Stegostoma tigrinum: one gene and its partners. The protein of the gene in region 1 binds, or shares a complex with, the protein of each later gene. Links are inferred from orthologs where the notes say so. Each region holds a gene or a part of one and is shown on either strand. Other genes may lie near its edges. The genes, in order: CCR4-NOT transcription complex subunit 6, cnot9, cnot10 and cnot2.

Region 1 (6,946 bases):
GCTGGGATATCGGAGCAGGGACTTTAGCAGTCAGTGTCTTCGTAGCTCATGAGGTTTGGAACATAGCAGCAGCTGGAAGCCTAGATGAGGGTTTTGACGGTTGGAAATTGAGCCTGAAGCAGGAAAATGAGTCCAATGCAGCAATAAGAGATGTCCCCTGGCATCTGCAGTAGTGGCGAGAGGAGGCAGCCCAAGATCTCCCGGAGAGATGGCCAAAGTGGAGGAGATTGAGCCCTTGTATGGAGTGCGAGCTCAGCATGGCTAAGCACTTAAGATTGTTGAACTTTTAGCTATTTCTTTACTTTTCTTTACTTTTTACTTTACAGTTTTCAGACCCGTAGCTCGGGATGGATCTGCTGGCATTGGGAGGAGGTCCACAAGATGATCCCAGGAATGAAAAGCTTGTCATGTGCAAAGTGGTTGAGGACTCTGAGGAATGAAGAAGGATCTCATTAAATACTGAGAAGCCTGGATAGAGTGGATGTGGAGATTATTCCACTAGTAGCAGGGAACAGGATCTGAGGGTCCAGCACCAGAGTGAAGGGACAACCCTTTAGAATAGATATGAGGAGAAGTTTCATCAGCCAGTGGGTGAATCTGTGGAACTCTTTACCACAGAAAGCGGTGGAGTTCAAATCATTGAATGGCTTACAGAGAGAGATGGATAGATTCTTGATGCACAAGGGGGTCAAGGATTAGGGGAGAAGGCAGGTGGATGGGCTTCAGAATCATTTCAACCATGATTGAACGGTGGAGCAAACTCAATGTTCGAATGGCCTAATTCTGCTCTTACATCTTATGGTCACTTCTGACCTAATGTTGATGGGACGGTCATTGATACAAGAAGCTGAAGGTGTTTGGGCCTAAAACAATAACAAATTATGGCTGTTGTAATGCAGTGGTAGTGTTTCTATCTCTGAGACAGAAGGCAAGTTCAAGTCGCACCTGCTCCAGAGATGTGTAGTAACAGCTCTGAACAGACTGGTTAGAACAGACTGATCTGTGATTTATTTGATTGACCTTTAACAATGACATCTTAGTTTGTGTTTGATATGTCTCCAACCAATGGAGTTCCGCCCATTGATTCCCATTGACATTAGTTTTCCTAAAGGCCCTTGATTCCAGGCATGGTCAAATGCTGTTTTGATACTAACAGCAAATACTTTCACCTTACACCTTCTTTTTATAAGTTCTGTACAAGATCAGACTAAAGCTGTATTGAGTTTGGGTTCTAGCAGGGACACTCAACCCCTGGCCTGAGTGGAAAACTTCCCCAAATAGCAGTGGAGGCTAGGTAATTGAATAGATTCAAATCTCAGTTACACAGTTTGTTTATTATCAAAGGAGGTAAAAGTTAAGGATGGTGGTGGGGATCAGGCTGAAAAATTGAGTTAAGACCAAATTAGATCAGCCATGATGACCCCAAACAGTGGATAGTTTTCTCCTGATTCCACTGATGCCAGTTTTGCTCAGTATGTCAGAAACTTTACTGCAGAATAATTTGCAAGTGAGCAAAACATTTTCCAGGACACAATGAAGATTGGCCACAGATTTCACAAACTTGTGGGCAACTTTGCTCAAGGCAGTCTAATGGAGTGGGAATTCAGTAATATTGTTGACCTGAAGTGTTAGTGGTTTCTCTCTCAATCGGTTTCACTTGACCAGTTGAGCATTTTCAGTAAATTCTCTATGATTTTAAAAGCGGTGAGAATAGGATTTACATTCTAAAAGGATGTCCCTGGGAAGTGAGAGATAATAGGAACTGCAGATGCTGGAGAATCCGAGATAACAAGGTGTAGAGCTGGATGAACACTGCAGGCCAAGCAGCATCATAGGATCAGGAAGGCTGACGTTTCAGGCCTAGACCCTTCATCAGAAATGGGGGAGGGGAAGAGGGTTCTGAAATAAATAGGGAGAGAGGGGGAGGCAGATATAAGATGGGTAGAGGAGAAGATAGATGAAATGGAGACGAGACAAGTCAAAGATGGAGCCAGTAAAAGTGAGTGTAAGTGGGGAGGTAAGGAGGAGATAGGTCAATCCAGGGAGGACGGACAGGTCAAGGGAGCAGGATGAAGTTAGTAGGTAGGAAATGGTGCTGTGGCTTGAGGTGGGAGGAGGGGATAAGTGAGAGGAAGAACAGTTCAGGGAGGCGGGGATGAGCTGGGCTGGTTTTGGGATGCAGTAGTGGGAGGGGAGATTTTGAAGCTTGTGAAATCCACATTGATACCATTGGGCTGCAGGGTTCCCAAACATCATCCTCCCTAACCCTATCGCATCCTCCGACACCTCTGCCATCTGCAATCTGACCCAGCCACCAAAGATATTTTCCCCTCCCCACCCTTGGCTGCTTTCCGGAGGGACCACTCTCTCTGTGACTCCCCTGTCTGCTCCACACTCCCCTCCAGCCCCACCACACCTGGCACTTTTCCCTGAAACTGCAGGAAGTGCTACACCTGCCCTACACCTCCCCCCTCACCCCCATCTAGGCCCCAAGAAGACTTTCCACATCAAGGAGATGCACATCTGCTAATGTGGTACACTGCATCCGCTGTACCCATTGTGGCCTCCTCTTTATGGGGAAACCAAGCTTGGGGACTGCTTTGCAGAACAACTACACTTGGTTCGCAATAAACAACTGCACCTCCCAGTTGTGAACCATTTCAACTCCCCCTCCTATTCCTCAGACAACATGTCCATCCTGGGCCTCTTGCAGTGCCACAACGATGCCACCCAATGGTTGCAGGAACAGCAACTCATATTCCACTTGGGAACCCTGAAGCCCAATGGTATCAATCTCCACTCCCCCTACCACATCCCAAAACCAGCCCAGCTTGTCCCCGCCTCCCTAACCTGTTCTTCCTCTCACCTATCTCCTCCTCCCACCTCAAGCCACACACCCATTTCCTACCTAGTAACCTCATCCCGCCCCCTTGACCTGTCCGTCCTCCCTGGACTGATCTATCTCCTCCCTAACTTCCCACTTACACCCACCTTTACTGGCTCCATCGCTGCCTCTTTGACCTGTCTGTCTCCTCTCCACCTATCTTGTCCTCTATCCATCTTCTGTCTGCCTAGCCCTCCCTATTTATCTCAGAACCCCTTCCCCTCCTCCATTTCTGAAGAAGGGTCTAGGCCCAAAACGTCAACCTTCCTGATCTGATGATGCTGCGTTCATCCAGCTCTACACCTTGTTGTCCCTGGGAAGTGAGAGTTGAGGTGCAACAGGAGTCCACAAATGACATAGATAGGATGGTGCTGGAGTAGTGATCACAGTCAATGGTGAAGTTAGAAAATGATAAACTTGATGAAAGAGGCAGCAGGATTTCTCGCACAGGTTGTAAGGAGGGCAAGGTGTTAATTGAGTGGGGCAGCATGTAACAAATAAGAAAAGCTGGGACTTATTAAGAATAAACAAAGCAGCGTGTAAAGTGAAAGATGGAAAGGGTAAACATGGGATTAGGAAGGTGGTGGATGCTTGGCTGAAGTTCAGGTATTAGTAAAATTGAAAACCTATTGAAGGGAAACGACTGAACCGTCAATATCATTCCACGTCCAGTTAGCTGGTGGGGATCTAGCGCAATGCCTGGAAGTGCGACCTAATTCGAGTTACAAGATGTTAAATTAGCTCTAACAAGTTACAAGCAATAAAAACGGATCAAATATTCCTTTAAAGTCGGCACTCATTGATAGTTTTAAGCGGAGTGAAAATTACATGTTAACCCTCATCCGTTGTTGAACTTCCATTGGGCTAGTAACTTGCCATGCGGCTCCTAATTGCTTCCTTTGACGAAACTCAAGAAACAAGGTAAACGACAAACCTACGCTCGATATAATTAAGCCAATCAAATTTACGGGTATTTCCCCACCCCGCCCAAGACGGCGCTTTCAAAACAAATAAGTTCCACACAAGGAGGGGGAGAAGCAGAGGTAGTTTGTAAAATTTAAGAACATGACCTGCCGAGTGCGTATAGCTATCCAGCGGACATGCACGCCTTAATATGGACAAATCGATTTTGCTCGGTCAAAAGAGATGATTAGGGCCTTCGGCCGTCCTCACCGTTGCAGTCTCTGTAGTTTGAACGGGAATCGGCGCGCAGCGGGACATTCCGGCCAGAAGGCTCGCGCTGTCCTCAACAGCCGCAACACGCACCCCTTCCGGCGCGAGCCGCTCGTTCCGACTCTGTTTGTTTTGCTTCACGCGAGGCCGAGTGGTACGGTCCACGCTGTAGCCAATCAGCGAGCCGCAAAGGAGGGGAAAACTCTCCGGGAAATAATGGAAAGCGGGCGCCATGATGATTGTTTGCTTTTAGAACGGGTTCGCTGGGTTTGTAGGCGAAGGGAAGAAAGGTCTAGAACTTTTGTTATGTGTTCGCAGGTATAAAAATGTTTTCTCACTTCAAACCTCACGGTTTAAGGTTTCACTTTACCTGAGCAAAGCAGGGAATTAAAGGTATTTATTTGTAACGTTCTGAACCTTGCGAGGTTTTTTAGTATTTAAATTTAGAACTTCCAGCTCAAGTTTTTTTAAAAAAAGACTTAGCTAATTTGTTTGACTTTGTCGGCTTCGTTCGTTTTATTTGAGTCACCTCTTTGCCCTAAAAGTCATTTGAGTCTCGGTTGAACGGAAAACTAAGTCGCTTCTTTTATGTAGTCAATGCGAGGCCTACACGTTAGTAGTAGGGGGAGCTTTTATTTGAACGACGGAGCGACCTAGCTTTGTGGCGGAAGTGTGCGTGTGTGGTTTGATTGACAACTGAACGCGCCACTCAAACACAAACCGTTCACCAATGTGGCGCACGGCGGGTTTTTATCGACCAATGGATGCAGTGTAGGGGCGGGACATCCGTGATGAAGGTAGGTTGATTTTTAGAACGTAGTTCTTTGCGCCCCAGTATGATAATGGTAAATACTAGTGATGTGTGATTTGGGGGCGCTTAATTAGTGTACAAATTACTACAGGGTACACGCACTCATTTTGTATACTATAACGTTTCACCAGTTCGGTTGGTAAGTGAATATAGGTACAGCATCTGGAAAACAAAGTATTGAACTACTACTTCCCCTAAATGTACTAGTTTTGAAATCACAATTCAGGTATATCCACTTCACCGCCACTTTTTTGCCGTTACCTATTTTCGGGTGGCCTGAACAATCGCTGAAGTTTTTGAAACTACGTGTTTAGATCATAGACATGAACTTGGAATAAAATTCGTTGCTAAAGTGGATGACGAGGACAAAACACTATTATGCTTTTAATTGCAATTCTAGCGATAACGTCGATTGCAAAAACCCCAGTAACTTTTCCACGTGATGCTGCTGCGATTGAATGTCCTTTTTAAGGCACCCTGTAGAGTTGGGGGTGGGGGTGCGGTGAGAAAGAAACAGGTGAAAACAACTTCGGCATTAAGGATATAGGAAGTATTTTCCCTGAAGAAATGTAAAATGTAGGGACTGCTCTTCCGTCACTACTTATTTTCTAATTCTTCTGTGTTGCCTTAGCATTTAGGTAAAATGCTTTCAAGTTATAACTGGAATCATAGGATTTAACAGCAAGTTGGCTGTACAGACATGGCGCTTGTGCCAGCTCTCATATTCCAAATCCCTCTTGTATATGCACCCTTAAACACTTTTTGCTATGTCTTTCTGACGGCCTTCATTGTGCCTAATGATTAGGAATTTCTTGCCATCGGTTTGTCTGATCTGACTGCTTGCGTCCTGTATTTTAAGAATCTTCATTCTTTTAGTTAATGTTCATCTACTTTTATTAAGACTGGTTTTACGTACCTAATTCCACAGTCCTGTTCAACTTTGAACAGAAAGCTGATGGTTGAAAATACAGTGCAGCAATTGCTTGGGGGGGAAAAAAATCCAACTGCATATGTATAGGAAATAAGTGTTAGGTTTGACTAAATCCTTTTTTGAATACAAATATTGTGCATTTTTCATGTGGGTATCACCAGTAAGGCCAACATTTGTCACCCATCTCTGCATGTTGGTGGCATGAAGGTGCTTTTGACCATCTGCTGAAATGACTATTGCCAGTACACACAACTTTTCGTAGGAAAGGAGTTCCAGGACTTAGTTCCATGCTTGTGAAGGAGCTGTGATTGTGGTCGTAAGTCAGATGTCTGTTTGACTTAGAGGAACTTCCAGCCGGCAGCATTCCCATGCACCCATTGCCCTTGCCCTTGCCCTTCCAGGTGTTAGGGGTAGTGGATTGGGAAGGTACTGTTGGAGGCTTGAGTTGCTGTTGCCTATTCTCTACAACATGATGCTGTCACTTTACATTTGTTGTGAAGAGGTCTTGCTTAAATGGACAATTGTTTTAAATATAACTTCTCAATGCTGTTGAGCATCATGAATGGTGCTATCCATTCAGGCAATCGAGAGTTCTGTCAACATCCTGTCTGGTGCCTTTACAGATGGTAGACAAACTTGAATTCCCAGCCTTGGATTTCCTCTTGTAGCCATAATTTTAAGATTGGTTGTCCACTTCAGTTTCTGGACACAGATCACCACTAGGAGGATGTTAGTGAGGATTCAGCAATAGTGATACCATTCATAGACAAGACATAGTCATTGTTTGATACTTGAGTAGAGTGAATGTTAGTTGCTGCTTAAACACAAACCTGAATGTTGTTCAGATTGTGCTACATATTTACACAGATGTATTCAGTGTTGAATGAGTTTGAAATGGTGAGTATTGGACTCACCAATCATGTCCAGTTCTAACCTTCTAATGGAAGCATCGAAGTTGCTGCAGTTAATTAGGCCTGGAGGAACTCTTACAGCAGCTTACTGGAACTGAGATGATTGACATCCAGCATGCCTTACCATCTTGCTTTTGTGCAAGATGTGACTCGAACTAGTAGACACTTTCCCATCAATTCAGTGATATTAACTTTTTACTTTTGGCCAGGGTGCCTCGAGTTTGTTTTTAAACTAT
Region 2 (7,622 bases), on another chromosome or scaffold:
TGCCAGGGTTGGAGGGTTTGAGTTATCGAGAGAGACTGAATAGGCTGGGACTATTTTCCCTGGACCATCGAAGACCGAGAGGAGGAGTGTGGATAGTGTAAATGGACAAGGCCTTTTCCCCTGGGTGGGGGAATTGAAAACTAGAGGGAATAGGTTTAAGGTGAGAACGGAAAGATTTGAAAAGGACCTAAGGGGCAACATTTTCACACAGAGGGTGGTACATATGCAGAATGAGCTGCCAGAGGAAGGAGTGGAGGCTGGTACAATTGCAACATCTAAAATGCATCTGAAGAGGTATATGAATAGGAAGAGTTTAGAGGGATATGGGCCAAACAAGACTAGATTAATTTAGGATATCTGGTCGATGTGGACAAGTTTGACTAAATAGTCTGTTTCTGGGCTGTATATCTGTCCCTTCAATCTGTGGAAACTAGAGTCAAAGGTTGGTTTTATCGAATGGGGTAATAACAGCAGATTTAAAGCAGCGACGGCAAAACAACTTAAGAGACTGGAGTCACTTGTGCAGAGAAACGGATGCTGAAAGATTCTAGATGGGATTCATCCCGGATTCATGCGAGAAGGGCTAAAATTAAGAGGCTCTGCCCATGATCTTCCGATCCTTCGTTAGATATTGGTGTGTTAACGACCCAAACATTACATTCCTATTTAAAGAAGTCAAAACCTTCAGTAGAAATCAGTCAGCCTACTTTTGTTTGTGGGAATCATAATCCAGAACAGAACAAACACATGTCCACCCCTCTGTACAAATTATCATTTAGAAACACCAGTTTTCTAGACTTTTTTGAGTAGACTGGAGTATTATTTCAGTGCAATGTTTAGGAAGCAGAAACATTGAAGAAACAGTACTTACATAATTTAACTTTGCTTTAAAACTGCTTAAAGCTATAACACTGTTTTATGTTTCAGATAAGTCTTTATTTCCGAATGATTTCCTGTTCACACAGTTCTGTTTAGATATTCTGACATCATGTCACAATTATGAAAATTCTGGAATCCAGAAATGACTTGGTCTAATTCTTGACCAGCTCAACTGAATCTGCATTTGGACCGCTGTTCTCTCTGATATATTTTAATGGCTTAAATTCTTCTTCTAAAAAGTACTCCAACTTTGGTCTACAATTCACAAATAATTTGCAAACATCGTAACTAATGAGAAGTGTAACCAGAGACTTCAGGAGGACACTGATGAGACACTGAAATACACGAAAAATTAAGTGTGTTGGTAGGAAGAAAGATTGACTAAATGACAAATTTGAAGGGGAGGTCACACAGGAACAGACAGACATGTGCACAAATGTTCAGAGGCATCAGCCAAGTTCATGATTTTGCTTTAAAATTAACCAAACCCTGAAGCTTGCATTCAAAGTACGGCCATGAAAACTTTTACATCTGACCAATCAGCTATACAGTTCATCAGTCAAACATCTGATCACAAAACCATCATGAGCACTCCTGGTGCATAACTTGGAAGCTATAAGCTTCAAACTCTGAGTAAGACTGAACAAATGGCTCCCCCTTATCAACTCTGGAAGTTACTGTATGCAACATAAACCACTAAGTTTTCGAAACCCTCAACAATACAGACAGTAGGAAATAGGAAAACAGCAAAGTTTTGGAACACTCAATTAATTACAAAGGTGTACATTACAACAGCAGCTGTTCCAAAGACACTCTCATTAGGAGCTAAAAGCATATCCTGAGATTGTCAAAGAATATACAGAAATGAAAGTTTAAAAAAAAATCAGGCTGTTTGCCCTGAATGGTGTCAGGTTTCTTAAATATTATCAACCAGGCAAGTGGCGAGTATTCCATCACATTTTTAACTCGCGCCTTTTAGATGGTGGACAAGGTGTTGGGAGGACAAACGGTAAACATAGTAACTGCACAGACACACTGGAGGTCAATTTGCATTCTGGTCCCTTAGAAAGGGCATCATACCCAGTCCTGTGATCTCTACACATTTCCAAAACTGGTTTCAATGTTGGGGTACGAGGAGTCTTTTGGGAATGGAATTTGACATTTGTGGAAACGGTGTTAAGGATGGGAGGGTTAGGTATGGTGGAACAAGATAGGCTTTAGGCAGGACAGAATTAGAGAATGGTTACTATACTGGAAACAGCAGTGGCTCTTTTAAAAAAAAAACAGAAACAGAGACTGCAGTTTGGCAAATTCTGTGAGAAGCAGCAGAGTTAACACTTCAACTCCAGTGATTCTTCAACAGTAAAAGAATCATTCACTGAGTTCCACCTGGGAGCCTTTCCGCAATCTTGCAAATTTCTCTCTTCAGGTAATGATCCTGGTCTTTGCTTCAAAAGTCATGAATCCTTCTCTCTCTCACACACACACACACACACACACACACACACACACACACACACACACACACACACACACACACACACACACCACAACAGTTCTTCCTGTTCCACAACTTCGGTCTTGTGCTCTCTCTCTGTCCCCCAACCCGCCGCCTCCTACAGATACAGTTAAGCTCCATCTCTCTGGCCCCATCCTTGAAATGCAGTCCGCCTCTCTCAGTGCCTACCCCCTTGCCCAGACACAGGTATTTCTGCCCGCTCACTCTGGCTTCATCCTTGAGTGCAGTGCCCAAGACTCTCTTCACCGCCACCACGATACAGTCCTTTCCCCGACTCTCCCCTCAGGATGCAGTAGCACGCCCCACTCCTTTCCTGGGGGTGCAGTACTCCCTACTCTCAGCTCCCCACAGGTGCAGTGCCCTCTGCCTCTCCCCCCCATAGCCCCAGGCACATTACTTGGTCTGTCTCCCCACCGTGGGGTACAGTGTTCACCCTCTCTCCTCCCCCCCGACAACCCCCAAAGGGTGAGGTACTCTCTGTCTCTCCCGCAGGGGACTGCACCCTCTGTCTCCACACCCACTTCCCCCTAGGGGTCTGGTCCCCTCTGCCTGTCCCTCCCTACCGCCGGGGCGGGGCGGGGCGGGGCGGGGGGAGAGGTCTGGTCCCCTCTGCCTGTCCCTCCCTACCCCCGGGGCGGGGGGAGGTCTGGTCCCCTCTGCCTGTCCCTCCCTACCCCCGGGGCGGGGGGAGGTCTGGTCCCCTCTGCCTGTCCCTCCCTACCCCCGGGGCGGGGGGAGGTCTGGTCCCCTCTGCCTGTCCCTCCCTACCCCCGGGGCGGGGGGAGGTCTGGTCCCCTCTGCCTGTCCCTCCCTACCCCCGGGGCGGGGGGGGGGTCGGGGGGGGGAAGGTCTGGTCCCCTCTGCCTGTCCCTCCCTACCCCCGGGGCGGGGAGAGGTCTGGTCCCCTCTGCCTGTCCCTCCCTACCCCCGGGGCGGGGGGAGGTCTGGTCCCCTCTGCCTGTCCCTCCCTACCCCCGGGGCGGGGAGAGGTCTGGTCCCCTCTGCCTGTCCCTCCCTACCCCCGGGGCGGGGGGGGGGGGGAGAAGGTCTGGTCCCCTCTGCCTGTCCCTCCCTACCCCCGGGGCGGGGGGAGGTCTGGTCCCCTCTGCCTGTCCCTCCCTACCCCCGGGGCGGGGAGAGGTCTGGTCCCCTCTGCCTGTCCCTCCCTACCCCCGGGGCGGGGAGAGGTCTGGTCCCCTCTGCCTGTCCCTCCCTACCCCCGGGGCGGGGGGAGGTCTGGTCCCCTCTGCCTGTCCCTCCCTACCCCCGGGGCGGGGAGAGGTCTGGTCCCCTCTGCCTGTCCCTCCCTACCCCCGGGGCGGGGGGGGGGGGGGAAGGTCTGGTCCCCTCTGCCTGTCCCTCCCTACCCCCGGGGCGGGGGGAGGTCTGGTCCCCTCTGCCTGTCCCTCCCTACCCCCGGGGCGGGGGGAGGTCTGGTCCCCTCTGCCTGTCCCTCCCTACCCCCGGGGCGGGGGGGGGGAGAAGGTCTGGTCCCCTCTGCCTGTCCCTCCCTACCCCCGGGGCGGGGGGAGGTCTGGTCCCCTCTGCCTGTCCCTCCCTACCCCCGGGGCGGGGGAAGGTCTGGTCCCCTCTGCCTGTCCCTCCCTACCCCCGGGGCGGGGGGGAAGGTCTGGTCCCCTCTGCCTGTCCCTCCCTACCCCACGCCCCGGGGGGGGGGGGGGGGTGCGGTACACAGACACAGACACACTCCCGCGGGTGGGGTTACGGTACCTCTCGGGCCGTTCCCATAGAGACGGCGCCTCGCGCTCCGCTCCCGCCGCCGCCGCCGCCGCCGCGAGATGGCGGGACTGCCGCTCCCACAATGCCCCGGGGCGTGGAGTGCTCTCAGGCACAGAGCGCTCCTCTTCTCCCCGATCCTGTCCGGTACGGTCCGTCCGCCGAACACCCGCCCCGCTCTAAAACAACCGACTCTCCCCAAACCCCATCACCGCCTCGAATAAAAACATTAAAATGTTCTTCACCCCAACCGCCGCTCAAAATGGCGCGAAGGCAGCCTCCCAGCAAGCAGCGCGCAGCCTGAGGAAACACACCCGCAAAGTCTATCATTTTCTTTTTAAAAAAAATACCCTAATCGTCTGAAGCGCGCTTCGGGCACAATTCGTACGAAATAAACAAGGATAATTATCAACTTGTGTTTCAATGCCGCGGTCACGGGGTGAAAGGGCAAAGGTGAAGAGCGGAAATGCGTTCAAACCTATAATTCCGCGGAATGGTGCGAGGTGAAACTGGAGATTATTCTACACAAGAGAGTCGGATTGCGAAGGGTTTGAATGATTCTCCTGATGTAAATTCCTTTTCAAAATAAAAGACGTGTTTTGGGTAGAAGCGGTGACCAAGGGTCAGAGGTCAGGGTTCACCGGACACAGGAGCCGGGAGCCTCGGGCTCGTTGATGTGAAGTTTTTACCCGAAGAAGGGGCGGCGGCGGCGGCGGGGGAAGATGCACAGCCTGGGGGCAGGGGCGGTAAGTCCCGGTGGGGATGGGCGAGGTGGGGGCCTCTTCCCCGCGCCCCCCCCCCGGTTTAGGCCAGGGATGGGGGAGACAGCGACGCCCTCGCTGCGGGAGGCCCGGGCAGGGACTCGCCGAGTTTACCCGCACTCGGGCGGCGGGGGAGGCTGCAGGGAGCCTGCCCGGGGACCGCCTGAGGCCTCGGTGGGGCTTGAGGCCGAGCCTGTCGGATTTTGTGGTCACCAGGGAGGCGGGCGGGGAAGTGGAGCTATGATCAGACAACCCTAGAATTTCTACAGTGTGCAAGCAGGCCACTCTGCCCATCGAGGAGAGACTAGTCCTCACGTTCTCATTCTTCTCTCCCCCCCCCCCCCGGCATTCTTCTCTCCCCCCCCCCCCCCGGCATTCTTCTCTCCCCCCCCCCCCCCCCGGCATTCTTCTCTCCCCCCCCCCCCCCCCGGCATTCTTCTCTCCCCCCCCCCCCCCCGGCATTCTTCTCTCCCCCCCCCCCCGGCATTCTTCTCCCCCCCCCCCCCCGGCATTCTTCTCTCTCCCCCCCCCCCGGCATTCTTCTCTCCCCCCCCCCCCGGCATTCTTCTCTCCCCCCCCCCCCCCGGCATTCTTCTCTCTCCCCCCCCCCCCCCCCGGCATTCTTCTCTCTCCCCCCCCCCCGGCATTCTTCTCTCCCCCCCCCCCCCCGGCATTCTTCTCTCCCCCCCCCCCCCGGCATTCTTCTCTCCCCCCCCCCCCCCCGGCATTCTTCTCTCCCCCCCCCCCCCCCCCCGGCATTCTTCTCCCCCCCCCCCCGGCATTCTTCTCTCCCCCCCCCCCCCGGCATTCTTCTCTCTCCCCCCCCCCCCCCCCGGCATTCTTCTCTCTCCCCCCCCCCCCCCCCGGCATTCTTCTCTCTCTCCCCCCCCCCCCCCGGCATTTCTCTCCCCCCCCCCCCCCCGGCATTCTTCTCTCCTCCCCCCCCCCCCCCGGCATTCTTCTCTCCTCCCCCCCCCCCCCGGCATTCTTCTCCCCCCCCCGGCATTCTTCTCCCCCCCCCTCCCCCCCCCCGGCATTCTTCTCCCCCCCCTCCCCCCCCCCCGGCATTCTTCTCCCCCCCCCTCCACCCCCCCCCCCCGGCATTCTTCTCTTTCCCCCCCCCCCCCCCGGCATTCTTCTCTTTCCCCCCCCCCCCCCCGGCATTCTTCTCTTCTCCCCCCCCCCCCGGCATTCTTCTCTTTCCCCCCCCCCCGGCATTCTCCTCCCCCCCCCCCCCCCCGGCATTCTCCTCTTCCACCCATTCTCCCCCCACCCCCCGGCATTCTCCTCTTCCACCCACCCCCCCCCGGCATTCTCCTCTTCCACCCATTTCCCCGCCCGGCATTCTCCTCTTCCACCCATTTCCCCCCCCCCCCACCCACCCACCCCCCCCCCCCCCGGCATTCTCCTCCCCCACCCCCCCCCCCCCCGGCATTCTCCTCCCCCACCCCCCCCCCCCCGGCATTCTCCTCTTCCACCCATTCACCCCCCCCCGGCATTCTCCTCTTCCACCCATTTCCCCCCCCACCCACCCCCCCCGGCATTCTCCTCTTCCACCCATTCCCCTCCCGGCATTCTCCTCCCCCACCCCCCCCCCCCCCCCCGGCATTCTCCTCCCCCACCCACCCCCCCCCCCCCGGCATTCTCCTCCCCCACCCACCCCCCCCCCCCCGGCATTCTCCTCTCCCCCCCCCCCCCCCCCCGGCATTCTCCTCCCCCACCCCCCCCCCGGCATTCTCCTCTTCCACCCATTTCCCCCCCCACCCACCCCACCCCCCCCCCCGGCATTCTCCTCTTCCACCCATTCCCCCCCCCCCCCGGCATTCTCCTCTTCCACCCATTCCCCCCCCACCCCCCCCCCGGCATTTTCCCCTCCCCCCGGCATTCTCCTCTTCCACCCATTTCCCCCCCCCCCCCCCCGGCATTCTCCTCTTCCACCCATTCCCCCCCCCCGGCATTCTCCTCTTCCACCCATTTACCCCCCCACCCACCCACCCCCCCCGGCATTCTCCTCTTCCACCCATTTTCCCCACCCACCCACCCCCCCCCCCCCGGCATTCTCCTCTTCCACCCAATTCCCCCCCCCCCCCCGGCATTCTCCTCTTCTCTCCTCCCCCCACTACCCCCGCATTCTCACTCCCCTCCCCCCCCCCCGCCCACTACCCCCGCATTCTCTTCTCTTCCCCCCCCCCCCGACTAGTGGAACCACCTAGGCCTGCACACCTCTGGACAGTGCGTGCAATTTAGCACAGCCAGTCCACCCTAATCTGCACATCTTTGGACTGAGAGGAAACTGCAGTACCCAGAGGAAACCCAATGCAGACATGGGGGAGATAGTAACAACTGCTGATACTGGAGAATGAGAGAACACGGTGGGGAGCTGGAGGAACACAACAGGCCAGGCAGCATTAGCGGAGCAGGAAAGCGGGTGTTTCGGGTTGGGATTTTCTGAAGAAGAGTCCCCGTGCCATGTCACCTCAGGCTCTTGCATCAGTAATTCTTAGTATCTCTGAGTGAGTTATAACCCCACTATGAAGCCATTTCTGAAGAAGGGTCCTGACCTGAAACGTCAGCTTTCCTGCTCCTCTGATGCTGCCTGGCCTGCTGTGTTCCTCCAACTCTACACTTATTACAGACACAAGAAGAATGTGCAAACTCTACTCAGTTGCCTGAATCAAACCCATGTGTCTGTGCACTGTGAGGCAGCAGTGCTAAACACTGAGCCA
Region 3 (7,603 bases), on another chromosome or scaffold:
AGAAAGCGGGAACTGCAGAATGTGAGATGACAAGGTGTAGAGCTGGATGAACACTGCAGGTCAAGCAGCCTGCTCCTTTGTTGCTGCTTGGCCTGATGTGTTCATCCAGCTCTATACATTGCTACGTCTAGCCTAATTCTGTTACAATTTTGCAATTTTAAATGGTCGAGTACACAGATGACATCAACTGACAGGGGAAAATTAACCACGTGGTGAAGAGTTTAAAATTATTAAGTGTATGAATTAGGAAATGGCAAAAACCATTTGATGCTGGATGAAAAGTAATAATTGATGCAAGGTACCAGATGTGATTCAGCAATTATGGCTGCAGTTGTTATACTGTAGTACCCCATTAAATCATGCATTGAGATGTTGTTTTAAAACAAAAAGGCCTTTTTGGGGAGGCTGTCTCAAAGGACATTCTTTACTAACATCTCATACAGAATACACAGAGTTAAAACAACATTGTTTCAGAGATAGTAGGAACTGCAGATGCCGGAGAATCTGAGATATCAAGGTGCAGAGCTGCGTGAACACAGCAGGCCTAGCAGCATCAGAAGACCAGGATGGCTGACGTTTCGAGCCTAGACCTGAAGAAGGGTCTAGGCCCAAAACGTCAGCCTTCCTGCTCCTCTGATGCTGCTTGGCCTGCTGCGTTCAAACAATTCGACACCTTGGTATCTCTTAAAACATTTACGGTTTATCAGTTTTACCTGATTTTTCAACAGGTTGAGAGTCTGCCTTAAGGTATCTGTCAAAGTCTGTCCATTTTTGTAGAACTCTGCCACCGCTTTATTCAGAGATATTTTGTAATCATCTTTGTTCAGCTCTTGCAGATGACCCAGATATTGCAGACAAGCGTCAAACTGTCCGGACTACGGCAAAATTAAGAAAATGTATATAAAATCAACCGCTGTTTGCAGCAAACAATTTTCTGGAACTTCATAGTTCATACATCCAAATAAACACTGATGCAGTTTTAATAAATCACAGTATGTAAGATGCTGTTAGGGGAGGGGAAACAAATGAAATAGACCGACTGGTGCACTCGGTAAACAAGGAGCGAGCACATTGAATCCTGTCATCCTGATAACAGCTGGAAATTTCTGTCATACCTCAAACTGTAAATTCCCATACTCCGTTCTATTGAAATAGAAAACAAGCTAACTTCAACAATTACCATTTTAGAAATTTTGACTCAATGTGTCACAGATGTTATCACACACCTCTTAGAGCAGACTTGAACCCAGGTGTCCTGACTCAGCAGATGAGGACACTACAGACACTACAAGAACCACCAATTTTTTTTCTTCTTACCAGGACTCAAAATTGGATGACAGCATGTGTACATGCGCATGCGTGTACTGTCTTGTTCTTGACCCATTATCACATTGTAACAATAACAGCAAACAACAGGAAACTGCTGAAAATGTTACATTATGATCATTTGGTCAAAAAATCCTGAAGAACAACTTTATGATATAGTACAATATGTGCAAATATCATTACTTATGATCATTTAATTCGGTGTTATTTACATGGAAATAAATCTAACTGCTGCTACCTGTGTTAAGTTTCAGAAAAAGGAGCTCAATTCATTTCCTATTCAGTGGTGTAGAGAATAACAGTACCATGTTATTCCCTTGCATATCACACTTCAGGCATTAAGTTTCAGATTATAGAAGACACACAGCTGTTTATGGAAGTGTCTTTTTCTATTGACACGAACAGCGTGGAAGACTATGCTAATCGTAACAACTCAAAAGCCTGGAACAAAAATTAACTGGCCATGAAATTCAATCAACGGAATTAATAGAAAAGAAATATTGCAATTGTCTTGGCCCATGAAACTTGATTTCATGGTAACTCTTTATAATGTAATACTTACAGTGTAAGCCTGATAAGCATTGTTTGCAAGCTCCTTGACATGGTCAGCAACCCCTGAAGAAAGAGAATTACTCTCTGTTTTCACATCAGTATTCTGATCTACAAAACAAAACAAAGACATTTATTTAGCATATCTGTTTCTCATATTACAATTTCTTTCCTCACATTCTAAAAATCTGCAGTTTCTTCTGAACCAATAAAAACTTAGCTAAAATCAGTCTTGAGCTTCTGCAAAAGTGAAGGAATTTTTCATCTCATTCATAAACTCCTTATCATGGGATTACATTTTCACCACCTAGCCAGGGAGAAACAGTCTGTCAGCCCATACCCTGTCAGAATTTTATCTGCTTCAATGAGATCACCTCTCATTCTACAAAACCCAGAGAATGTAACTACAAACCAAAATCAAAACAACTCATTTAGAGGGGTAATGAATAAATGTTTTGAAAGAAATTGAAATGGATGGTGACAACAACAGGGGTATAATCAGCTTGAGCATTTCAGTGAAGAGTTTTAGCTGGCATTGAAAATTACATAGTTGTAATTTATGCATTTCAGCATATTTTACAGAAAACATCACTTCAGTTAAAAATTTTTAACTACCTCAACAGTTTTTTTTAAACATGCTTACTCTGTCACTGAGCAGTCAGGACAGCACTATCTGTCTTATGGCACAGAATGAGGCCATTTAGTACAAATACAGTTACCCAGCTTAACCCACCTTGCAGCACTTAGTCCATAATCCTCTTTGGTTCCAGCAAATGAACATGAAAATACTTTTAAAGTCTTGTGAGATTGTGTGATCTACCATCCTTCGAGACAGACAGGTTGAGACTCCAACTGCTTTGTGGCTAAACAAATATATTTCAGATTCTAGACTGGAATTGATTCACCACCTTCACAATTCACAAGTGTCCGTCCCCGTACGTGTGCGCACACGCACACGCGCACAAACACACACACACAACTTCCTTACCGACCCTAGACCCCTCACCTCCATTACTCGCCGCAGAAGGATCTGACATGATTCCCATTCACTTCTTCCGCCCCCCCTCCCCAGGACGGGGAAGGAGCCCAAGCCCCAGAGCCGGGTAAGGTGTAGTACCGTGTACCCAAGGCCCCGCCGGAAATCAGTCATCCAGGCGCATCTAATGAGCGTCACTTCCTGTAAGAGGCTATCCTTGGTGCATCTTGTATATTCATTACATTACAGTGTAATACACCCTAAAGAAATATAATATGCAATATACCAAATCCTATGGAATTATAATGTTGTACGCTATACTGTAGGAAATATCAAATATTGCATCGCGTATAGGATGCATTGTAAAAATAGAACATACAATTAATGCACCTGGTCCTGTGGTGATATTTGATATGCTTAAATGTAAAAAATAGAACAAGTCCGTCCATTAACAATATTGAACCCATTAGCTATCCATCACATCAATTCTTGGATAAAAAACGTAAAGAGTATTACAGATAATACTCTTTATCTGCTCTAGCAGTTTAATGAATGGGTTTAGTAGTGGAAAAGGGAATGAGCATTGAAGTTATAAAATATTACAAATAAAATCTCAATTATATACCTCATTGTCCATATAAATTATGTTAAAAGCAAGGTGAGGACATTTCCAGTAGAAAGTGGGACAATATTAAACAGGAAATATTAATTTAGAAACGAAACATCGAATAATACGACCATGACGGGTGGAGAATATGTTTGAACAAGGTACTGAATGAATTTATAGATAATACGGAATATTTGCAAACTTTGAATGAAGATTTCCTCCATCTCAGTACTAAGTATTCAAATCCTTATCCTGACAGTAATGCAGAGAGGGTGGTCAATACCATTTCCATTTCATAGGAATGAGCTGGATATAGGAAACAATTATAAATTGAACTCTGCAGACATGTAAAACACAAATTCCAATGCAGGTTTTTTTTAAGAGATTAAATTCCCTACAGTGTGGAAACAGGCCCTTCGGCCTAACAATTCCACCCCACCTTTTGGAGCATCCCACCCAGATCCATCCCCCTAAACACTATGGGTAATTTAGGATGGCCAATCCACCTAGCCTGCACATCTTTGGACTGTGGGAGAAAACCCATGCAGACACAAAGAGAATGTACAAACTCCACACAGATAGTAACCCAAGGCTGGAATTGAACCAGGGTTCCTGGTGCTGTGAGGCTGCAGTGCTAACCACTGAGCCACTGTGCCACAGGTTACAAAGGAGTACTTACACGCAATTGGGCAGATAAATGCAAATATAAACATTAAAGCTGCTACATGTTGGGAGGACAGTGAGGTACACCATGGAGGGGTTAGGATCAGTGACATAGACTGTCAGTGTATCGGTCATTCTCTGGGTCATTCTTGGTCTCTCATTACGATTTATTCTTTTCCTGTGAATCTCTCTGTATGGCTTACTGAAAACAACAAATGCTGGAGGTCACAGTGGGCCAGACACCATCCTTGGACAGAGAGCAAACTAACATTTGGAGTCTAGACGACTCTTCATCAGGGCTCTGATGAAGAATCATCTAGACTCAAAACAATAGCTTGTTCTCTCTCCATGGATGCTGTCTGACCCGCCGTGATTTCCAACATTTGTTATTTTCAGTACAGATTTCAGCATCTGCAGTAATTTGCTCCTCCATTCTCTTTATAGCTTACTTTGTCTGGATCATTGACTTTCTATCAGTTATTTTCTCTCTCTTGACCACTCTGTATGTTAAATGATAGAAAACAGAGGGTAAGTATAGATGGGTATTTCTCAGACTAAAGACAAGTTGTCAATGATGTTTCCAAGGGATCAGTGTAGGGATTCTTGACTTTTCTGATTGATATAATTGACTGCTGAGATGGTTGCTGAGGACAAAGTCTCTATATTTGCAGAGGATACTAAGCTAAGAGAATTGCAAATTGTAAAGATGACGTTGAGTGACATCAGGGAGACAATGCCAATTTGGCAACCTGGGCAAATGCCTGGCAGATGAATGTCAATGCATACAAATGTGAAGTAACACATTTGATAGAAGAAACCTGGAAAGACATTACAGGCTGAATGATACAACTTTAAAGGGAGCACAGGAGCAGAGGGACCTCAGGATTCAAGTGCAGAATTCTCTGAAAGTGGCCAGGCAAGCAGATCAAAAAGAATTAGAGGCATACAGGTTTCATTGCAGGTTGCGTTATTTGAGGCTAGAGTCCAGAGTCCATTCATCAGTCTGATAATGGCCGGAAAGAAGCTGTTTCTGAAGCTTGTGCATGTGTTTGGGTTTCTGTGTCTTCTGCCTGATGTAAGAGGTTCTAGGAGGTCATAACCAGGGAGCAATGTGTCTTTAATGATGTTGACAGCTGTTATGCACCTGTGAGCTGTGTAAATACAGTATACAGCATAAAAGCAGGGAAGTAATACTACGTCATTGGTCATATTAAATCATTTGTCAGATCATATTTGGAACATAGTGTTCAGTTCCGGGCTCCTTATTTAAGGAAAGGTATTAAAGCCCTGGAGAGAGTGCAAATGACACTAGGAATGACAGAAATTAGATAGAAGATCATAGAAATTGAACTCACTCTCCCTACAGCAGAGAAGACAAAGTGTTGCCCTTTCAAGGTATTCAAATTTTAGAACAATTTTGACAGGGTAAAGGAGGTATTCTGTTTCTACCATTTAGTGTATCAGCAACTAGGAGTTACATTTTCAAGATTGTCAGCGAGAGGACAAGGAGTAAGATGAGGAGAAGTTGTATCAGTGATAATGGGAACTGCAGATGCTGGAGAATCCAAGATAATAAAATGTGAGGCTGGATGAACACAGCAGGCCCAGCAGCATCTCAGGAGCACAAAAGCTGACGTTTCGGGCCTAGACCCTTCATCAGAGAGGGGGATGGGGTGAGGGTTCTGAAATTTTTTTTATTCCAGAACCCTCACCCCATTCCCCTCTCTGATGGAGGGTCTAGGCCCGAAACGTCAGCTTTTGTGCTCCTGAGATGCTGCTGGGCCTGCTGTGTTCATCCAGCCTCACATTTTATTATCTCGTAAGATGAGGAGAAACTTCTTTACTCAGAGACTTGTTTGGATTTGGCATGTGAGATAACAAGGTGTCGAGCTAGGTGGACACAGCAGGCCAAGCAGCATCAGAGGTATTTGGCATGCGGTGCCTGGGATGGAGGTGGATTCCATAGGATATTTAAGAGAGCTGAATATATATTTGAACATGATGAATACAGAGAGCTATGGACACAGGGCTGGAGAATGGGACGAGCTTGTTCAGGGGCCAGTGCACAAAAAGCCTTCTGCTGTGCTGAAAAGTTCTATGATTCTGCCCACGGATCCTTCCCTGAAGGTCTCTCACTATCTGGGAGCTTACTTTGTCCAGACCACTGTCTGTATGTTACATTCTCTCTCTCTTTGGGTCACTCAACTAGTTTCTGCTCTCTGGACTTCTCTCAACTGATTATTCTCTCTCGCCCTTTCTTTCTGGGTTTCTATCCAATAGTCACTCTGTCTCTCTCTCTCCCCCCCCCAAAAAGTTCTTCTCCCGAACAGTCACACCCTCTGGACCTCTCTCCAATGTCACTCACTCTAACCCTTTCTTTTTAGGCTCAGATATTCAGTCTCTCAATTAGTTAGATTAGAGGTGTCAGTGAGTGGGGGTAAGTGAGTGTTATAACAACAACATTCTCTCAGAGTCCCCACTATGTAAACCATCATCCAATTCTTATCTACTTGTGTAAAGTAGACTTGTACTTTTAAAAGACACATTAAATTTCAGAGAATGCGTTAAATTATGTGGGTTTATGTTTGAGAGGAGGAAAAGCTTTAAACCCATGCCTGGTTTTCTGCTAATACTTTCCAGAAAGTGTGAGGCAGCAGCTGTTAGCTACTCAGTACAAACAGCATTCATGCATGAGCTTAGCCAAGAATTGGCAACAGTCGGTTTGACAGAGGCTTAACAAAGGTGATTCTCATCCTGCTTTTGCTCAGTGTCTAGGTACCGTTTATTTAAGCAGCGGTCAGTTGAGTGCCTTCAGGGGACGACCTTCCTGATAAACTACCAGACTGCTCCTTTATCTCCCCTCCCGACTCAGCTCCTTCAGCATCCTGAGTCTGACTAAACAATCCATTGCAATCTTGCCAACTAATTTAGTTCAGTCCAGTGATTGAGTGGAAAAGAGGTTCTGAGCTTAATGTCCTTTCTCATCAACTATTGAATTTACTTACTGTTGTATTGAAAAGGGGTCCTTGTGTTAAATAGCAGAATGCTGATGCCACTCATGGCGAACTTTGTAGATCAGTGTCTTCAGGAAGATAGAGGACGAAAGACTTAGTGCTGAGGATGGTTTTTCCTTTCCTAGATTTAAAATTTCCTCAAGAGCATTTACAACCACCAACATCAGCGTGTACTCCTGTTCCTGTATTTCCAAATAATTCTGAGCATCAGACATTGGCTCGGCCTGTAAGTCTGCAGTTCATGTATACCTTTTGTGACCTGTAATTCTGCTGAATTTACAGTGCTTGTGTTGGTATGGCTTTTTTAAATTTATATTGGATGAATTGCGCTGCCCAGAGAACACTTTAGGTATGCATCCCACTGGAATAACAAAGCTCACTTATAAATCAATTCATTCCCTTTCCTAGAAATAAAAGATTGCTCTATCCTGCTTGAATAATACACCTTGCTTCTTCATAAATTGCATT
Region 4 (7,348 bases), on another chromosome or scaffold:
TTGTATAATGATATGTCAACTACATCTGCAACATTATATGAATGCTTATTCAAACCTTTCCAAGGAGAAGTGAAGTTGGTTAATTCAGATTCTAGTGATTCCAAGTCAATCACTTGCCACGAAAGTACATCTTAAGTCATGAAAAACTGGTAGGGCTTTGGGTTGGTCTACAATATTTGAGCAAGAATAAGGATGAAGATGCCATTCTGCGCTTTAAAACAAAGTGTCACAGTGAAAAAATAAAACATCTTACCAGTTATTCTCAAATGAATTATTACTATGGAAGCAATCAAAATTTTTGATTTTTAAAAATCAAGCATACTATGCATTAGTCTGTTAACAAACTCTGCTCTATGCCAATAGTATATCCTTTAACATAACACCAAAGTCATTGAGAATGTATTCCATTCTTCAATTCTATTCAATGAAACAGGAGTAAGTGGTTCTCAATGTAGCCTCTTCACATCACATGTCTCAATCATTCCAATGAAGTGGTTAGGAATCTTGCAGAATCAAAGAATTTTTCCTCTGGTCATTTGTTAAAGATCAAATTATTTGTTTTCTCCCTGATTCAGGATCACAGAATACTCTGTCAACTTGTCTAACATTTTGCTGAAAGCTTCAATAACCTTTAGGGCTTCATTATCTAATGCATCAGCAATATAATTCAGGAAAAATACTTGTGATAATACCCTTTTAAAACAAAATGCAATATCCTTAATCACTCACTAAAAATCTGTCTCAGCATCACCGCCACCAGTAATCGACCTTTCTAAACTCTAACAGTGGTGCAGATCCAATTGGACAATCTCAATTTGTTCTCTCCAGATGTAACCCACACTTGAAAGGACAAAACCTAACAGTTGCGCTGGGTGTTTTCCAAATTACATGCGCAAAATTCAACACGCTCACAAATCCATAATCTGTACAGCTTTGCTGAAATCCTACTGACAACCAGTGGTCAACAGGGTGGCATTTCTTCAGCTGATTCAATGAGCCATTAGCAACAGTTCACTAGTTTTGGGCAACCTCACATTTTCTGGAGAGGAGAAAAACAAGACTAAGAACATTAAAACACTTAACTGAAACGCTTCAGCCATAAAAATGCAATTATTGTTGTAGCAGTGCCCCCAATAAACAAGTAAAAGCTATATAAAGGTAAGGACAAGTAGGCAAGCATGCTCACACAACTGGTAGTCTCAAAACTGTGAAATAGAAAATAGATGGCAAAACATCCACCCAACAGTCCCACAGTACTGCAGCTCTAATATGGAAATGTCTACTTACTGTATCAATATTACAATTTTTTGGATTACAGATAGTATATGCATCCATACAACTTTGAAAATGTTCTTTCTGATTAAGAAAATACCACATTGTCCAGCGCTATCAAAATACTTGAGCATAAAGGTGAATATGGAAATTATAGAAGTTCTATTTGTTTTGGCAAAATCAGCAACAGAAGTTAGCATCAGTGCTGCTGATGCACAAATACTACAATTTTAAATCACATAGACATACACCACCAAGTCTATAACCACTGCCTTGATACCATTAATGCTTATTTAAAATTTGTAACTGTTAACATATCTGCAAAGCTGTAAGATCTTATTTCTGAAGATGGGTCTCGACCCAAAACGTCGGCTTTCCTGCTCCTCTGATGCTGCTTGGCCTGCTGTGTTCATCCAGCTCTACACCTTGCTATCTCAGATCTTATTTGAAGTTTATTTCAAGTTGTTCATCATTTAAAAAAGACAAATCTATCCCTTCCTTCTTTAAACCAAGGATTTACGCTATGCTAAAAGTAGTTAAAAACATAGTTTGACATCCAATTTATATTTGTAAGTGTCAATCCATATCCCTCGAAAAATTCTGATAATCTAGAAAAATAAGGTAAGTAACTGTATAAACTTTAAAAAAAATTGGAGAACTTAAAATCTCGTAGATTTAGAAAGCTAGATTCCCAGTGTGATAATCTGGTCTGATTCAATATTTGTCCAATTTAATATTTCCAAAGTCATTACAAACAGGAAAAACTAATAACAGCAAAAAATTATTTGGAATAACAAAATTGAACAACAAAGCCAGATGTTCAGCCCTTTCCATCATAAATTGTTTAAAAGCGAGATGTTTGTGACGTGCTGTTGTTTCAGTGGCTATCATCACTTACAAGATCCAAATCACCAGCTACATTTTTATACAAAAAAAATCATTTTCCCTTAGCTGTGCAACACAATTCTGAAATGATCGCCATGTCTCATATTGTGAGGACTCAAGGAACTTTCTGCAAACAATGGTGTCAGCATGGAACAAAACTATGTTTGAAACAAAATATAAATACAACTTCCACCAACAACTTAAAATAGACAAGTTGCATCCAAAAGGAAAACAAGTAAACATTTGCTGACGGCTTAAAAAAATGCAATGCACTGAACCAGGATCGGATATATCGCGACTATACCAAATTTCTGAAATTGAGCAAAGAAGCAATGGGGGATTTGTAGTTATAACTGCGGAAACGCCAGGCACACAGCTCGGGTCTCGTAGTGTAAAATGTATCCCGATGAAGATGATGAGGATGATGATGTAAAGTGTGAAGAGGAGGGCGAAAGTCGGATGCAAGGCCCAGTGCCTGAGGTGTATGTGTTCGTGCAAGGGTCGGGATCTTACTCTGCTCCCCGGCTCCTCGCTGCTTGGGTTGGCCTGTCCGCTTTTTTTTAATGATACTCGATTAAACCAGAGAGAGAGAGAGGGGGGGGGGGTGCAGTGGAGAGGGAGACTCAGTCAGAGCCCAGACAAAAAAAAGGCACAGCAGCCGCCCAAGCCCCATTAGATCAGCCCGCACTCCCCGCCACCGCGCTCGGCAACATTTTCATCGAAAAAGTTGTCGCCGACGCCAAAGGGACGGAGCTCTAGCGGCTCCGAGCGAGAAATAAAGAAAGAAAACGTTAAAACTTACCGCATGAATTATCTCCTAAAATAACTCCAAGATGGCTGTGTATTGCACCGGGGATGCTGGGTGCTGCCCTTTACCCTATGACCTTTACCCCCCTCCCCTGGAAGCAGGCGAAAGGATGACAACAGAAAATAAACAGGTGGAGGCGAGTAAAGGAAGCAGCGTTTCTATTTCTTATTATCGGGTTCTGCTTTCGCTTTCTTTCCAGTTTAGTTTGAAGCCTTCGTTGTTTATTTTATTTTAACGCATCTTTCGCTCCTCTTGAGATTTTGTTTTGACCCCAGAAAAAGCCTCAAAATCCCGACACCGTGCTGAGAGAGACACTCACACGGAGAGAGTTGTGTGTGGCCTGGAGCTGATGATGAATGTAGCTGGGATTGATAAATCAACCATGTGTATATTTCACCCTATTTCTGTCTTGCACTATTTTCGCCAGTTCCAAATAATATGTGAATGGCGTAGAACTTTTAACCGAGACAAAATACGAGTGAGGGGGGAAGCAATCGGTTTCTCCCTGTCGTCTTTATGCAGTAAATTTGCCTTTTGGTGAAACTCTTTTTATACTTTGTATAAAATGTAGAAATTTTAAATTTTAAGAAGGGGTTTCCTCCAAATTTCTCAGCATAGAAATTCTTTTGCATCTTTTAGTAATTGCATCTGTCAGGCTTGTGTAACTGCATTGGTGTTAATCTTTGAAATTTATTTATATTGGTGAGATCATTTATCTATTGTCCAACTGCAATCTTATTTTGATTCTTGATTTAATTAATATCATGTCACAGGGAGCTGCATCTAGAAACAAAGCAGTAATGGAGGAATTGTGATGATTTCATGAATTGTAAGTATAATATTTAACATAACCAGGGTCTTAAATAAACCTATATTGTATTGCCTGTCATTGTTTGCCACTTAAAATATCTGTAGAATATCTTAACATCTATTTTTATTTCATATGATAACAGTTGCCTACTATTTTGGAAGTTTTTGTATCAATTTTGAAAATGATATTGACAATGACGGATGTAAAGCTAACAGTCACTTTAACGTGGAGATACTGTATGATACTGTCACAATAAAGTGTATTTAGCAAGTAGCCAATTATAAATGATTAATTTGAATAAGCTTCAATATTAACCAAAATTAAATCTATCATTTTGTACAATTTGTACAATTCCATACATGCAGTATGCTGCAAAGACCAGCCAGCTTGAGTGAAATATCAATAATTGATGCACAGATGAGCAGCTTCTGCCTCTAGTACTATTTATTATCAGATCCAAATAATAGTAAATTTAGGTACTTGCAAATATCCATCGAATTATAGATATAGACAATGACTGCAAAACTGTAATTGAAACTTGAGTTTCAAGTAAGTGTTAAAAGGCCAAGAACAAAATTAGAATAGCCTGCTAACCCAAAATCTGATTACAAAAATAATAAGATTTTAACTTCCCAATCTGGTTTCTTTTACATGATAGTACAATGACTTAGATTGTAGGTATTTTCTAACAAACCTGTTCAGAGGTGATATCACACACATCTGGAGCAGATGGGACTTGAACCTGGACCTCCTGGCTCAGAAGTAGGGGCATTATCACTGTTCCATAAGAGATGCTCATGTTGCAACACCAGCCTGACATTTTAATTAGTGCCATTAAATACATAAACATGCAACATCAAGGAAATCATGTAACATTTACAAATCTTTAGCCTAAGCTGCAGCTTTTGTGCGTTGTTCTGGACGTTACATTTTAGAAAGATTTCCAGTCGTCGGAGGGGCTGCAAGGAGATTGATGAAGATGGTAACAGAGTTGAGGGACTACAGTTATTTGGAGCAATTGCAGAAACTGACATTTTTATCCTTAGACCAGGCAAAATTAAAGGAAACCTGATATGATATTCAGAATTATGAGAGATCCAATAAAGTAAGTCTAGCAACCTAATTTGGTGTTGGTTGTCCACAAGTATCTCAATGGCCTTTTTTTTTCACGTGCATTCCCTAATAGTCTGCAAAACCATGAATGCTGAAAGCAGACTCCACAGGAACTTTAAATGGCAATTGGATTTACGCTTGGAAGAGGATTAATTTTCAGCATCAGAAGGAGTGTGGAATGAAATTAGTTAGCCATTTGAAACAACATGGTGTAGAGCTGGATGAACACAGTGGGCCAAGCAGCATCAGAGGAGTAGGAAGGCTGACGTTTTGGGCCTAAACCCTTCTTCAGAAATCATTCCTGAAGAAGGGTCTAGGCCCAAAACGTCACCCTTCCTGCTTCTCTGATGCTGCTTAGCCTGCCATGTTCATCCAGCTCTCCACCTTGTTATCTCAGATTCTCCAGCATCTGCAGTTCCTTCTATCGCTGAAGCCATTTGAAACAGCCAGTGCAAAATCAGTGCTGTAATATTCTGTTCTAAATCTTCCTTTTGTTTTCTTTTTTTTAAAGCAGGGATTAATCAAATAGTCAGCAAGGTTTTATTAAGGGGTGGTCAGGTCTGACTAATTGAATATTTCAAAGTGGTCTCCAGATGTGTAGGTGAGGTCCGTGCATTTGATGTAGTCTGCTTAACAGCAAAGCTTTTGATAATGTCCAGTGTGGGAGACTAATAGCAAATGTGAGAGCCTGTGGGATCCAAGGAAATTTGGCAAATTGGGTACAGAATTGGCTGAGTGACAGGAAGCAGATAGTGATGGTTAAGAGCTATTTTTGTGACTGGGAGTCTGTGTCCAGTTGGGTCCTGTAGGGATCAGTGTTTGAGCCCTTGCTATTTATGGTACCTATAAATGGTTTAGACCTGAAGGTACCAGAGTTGATCAGTACTTTCTTGGCTAATACAAAAATTGTTGGGTTAGTAAATAGTGAGGAGGATAGCCATAGATTACAGGAGGATGTGGATAGGCTGGTCGGAGGGGGTGATCAGTGGAAAGTGAATTCAATCCAGATAAGTGTGTGGTGATGTACTTGATGATCATTGGGACAGAAGCACTGACAATCAGTGGGACTTTAGTGTGCAGAGCCTGCAGCCTCTCAGCGTAGTGGAACAGGGAGATAAAGAAGTTAAGAAATCATTTGGGATACTTGCCTTTATTAGCCAATGCATAGATTTAAGGACCTGGGAGGTGATTCTGGGACTGTACAAAATGTTGAATAGGCCACAGCTAGAGTATTGTGTGCAGGTCTGATATCCACATTAGAGGATGGATATGATTGCGCTGGAGCAGATGCACAGGAGATTTACCAAGATGTTGCCTGGACTGGGTTTTTTAATGAAGGGAGATTGGATAGGCTAGGGTTGTTTTACTTAGAGAGGTGGTGTAGGGGGAGTGGACATGTTGAGATGTTTAAAATTATGAGGAGCATAGATAGGGTAGCAGGAAGACAGGGGGCACCACAATGACAAGCTCTGGCTGTTAATGCCAATTTTATTGCTGGTAAGTGCTATTTTACCAAAAGGAGGACAAAATGGAGGTGAAATAACCAGTCAGTTATTTTGAGAAATTGAGTAATTATCAGCAGAAATAATTGATAATAGAGAAATGTCTTTTGACTCTGCAAAAGTTCGAAATTCACTTGTTTAATAACTTTGAAGAGACTATTATTTATACAATGGCCTGTCTTCAGATGTTTGGAGAGTTTTCAGATGAGAATTTAAGACTGTTTCATTACAGTTTAATACTACAACCGTATAATTTTAGAAATCATTCAATATTATAGCAGGTGCTTTTCTAGAGCAAATATGAATGAAACAATGTCATGATCAAAATGAACTTGCGTAGAATATGGTTATTAGGAATATTGGTGCGTATTCATTATAAATAAATTGTTACAGATGATGTACCACAGAAATGGTGTTAAGAGCAACGTTATGTTTGAAAAAGATGCTATTGCCTCTTAAGGATACCTTTGCATTTTCACTTTTGCGGAATGTATGAGGAAAGCTGTATTATATATTACATTTTTGAAGTTTGGATTTGAAAATTTAGGCAGATGGCTGTGGGTCAGTTCTGTTAAGGATTGTTTTTCTTAAAAGGTGAAATAGGCGGCTTTTAACAGTGATTAACTGCATCATTTTGAAGAAGGTCTACAACTTCAGCAAATGCCTGACAAACACCCGTGGTATTAATTGATAAAGTATTTACGCTCTTAGGTTTATGACAGGCAGAGGAAGCAAGTTAAGGTAATTTAGTTTAGTTTTGACTTCAGAACAGAATGATCAAACTTTTCGTCTAGAAAAGCCCAGAATTCAATTCAGAAGGTAAAATAAGTTTCTTTGAAAAGGAGAATCAAACGGATGAATTTAACCAAACATTGGCTAAGTATCACTGAGGGATTTTTGTAGAGGGTTTCTCTCTGAGCTCTAGTGGTTATCTGGCACAGTTCCTTGCTGTTCATC

Evidence for each region.
Region 2: CCR4-NOT transcription complex subunit 6 (region 1) and cnot9 share a complex: the UniProt entries of both Homo sapiens proteins name them as parts of the CCR4-NOT complex. The link is inferred for Stegostoma tigrinum from reciprocal best matches to the Homo sapiens genes CNOT6 and CNOT9.
Region 3: CCR4-NOT transcription complex subunit 6 (region 1) and cnot10 share a complex: the UniProt entries of both Homo sapiens proteins name them as parts of the CCR4-NOT complex. The link is inferred for Stegostoma tigrinum from reciprocal best matches to the Homo sapiens genes CNOT6 and CNOT10.
Region 4: CCR4-NOT transcription complex subunit 6 (region 1) and cnot2 share a complex: the UniProt entries of both Homo sapiens proteins name them as parts of the CCR4-NOT complex. The link is inferred for Stegostoma tigrinum from reciprocal best matches to the Homo sapiens genes CNOT6 and CNOT2.

Annotation. Positions count from the first base shown.
Region 1 is NC_081366.1:37,289,129-37,296,074, forward strand, and holds the start of CCR4-NOT transcription complex subunit 6, read left to right. Parts: upstream 1-3,939; 5' UTR 3,940-4,450; intron 4,451-4,460; exon of another isoform or gene 4,461-4,854; intron 4,855-6,946. UniProt on the Homo sapiens protein: Poly(A) nuclease with 3'-5' RNase activity.
Region 2 is NC_081360.1:103,197,085-103,204,706, reverse strand, and holds the start of cnot9 (CCR4-NOT transcription complex subunit 9), read left to right. Parts: upstream 1-4,619; 5' UTR 4,620-4,857; coding exon 4,858-4,881; intron 4,882-7,622. UniProt on the Homo sapiens protein: Component of the CCR4-NOT complex which is one of the major cellular mRNA deadenylases and is linked to various cellular processes including bulk mRNA degradation, miRNA-mediated repression, translational repression during translational initiation and general transcription regulation.
Region 3 is NC_081358.1:37,183,686-37,191,288, forward strand, and holds the start of cnot10 (CCR4-NOT transcription complex subunit 10), read right to left. Parts: upstream 3,022-7,603; 5' UTR 2,922-3,021; coding exon 2,882-2,921; intron 1,987-2,881; coding exon 1,889-1,986; intron 876-1,888; coding exon 714-875; intron 1-713. UniProt on the Homo sapiens protein: Component of the CCR4-NOT complex which is one of the major cellular mRNA deadenylases and is linked to various cellular processes including bulk mRNA degradation, miRNA-mediated repression, translational repression during translational initiation and general transcription regulation.
Region 4 is NC_081371.1:45,261,041-45,268,388, forward strand, and holds the start of cnot2 (CCR4-NOT transcription complex subunit 2), read right to left. Parts: upstream 3,014-7,348; 5' UTR 2,960-3,013; intron 1-2,959. UniProt on the Homo sapiens protein: Component of the CCR4-NOT complex which is one of the major cellular mRNA deadenylases and is linked to various cellular processes including bulk mRNA degradation, miRNA-mediated repression, translational repression during translational initiation and general transcription regulation.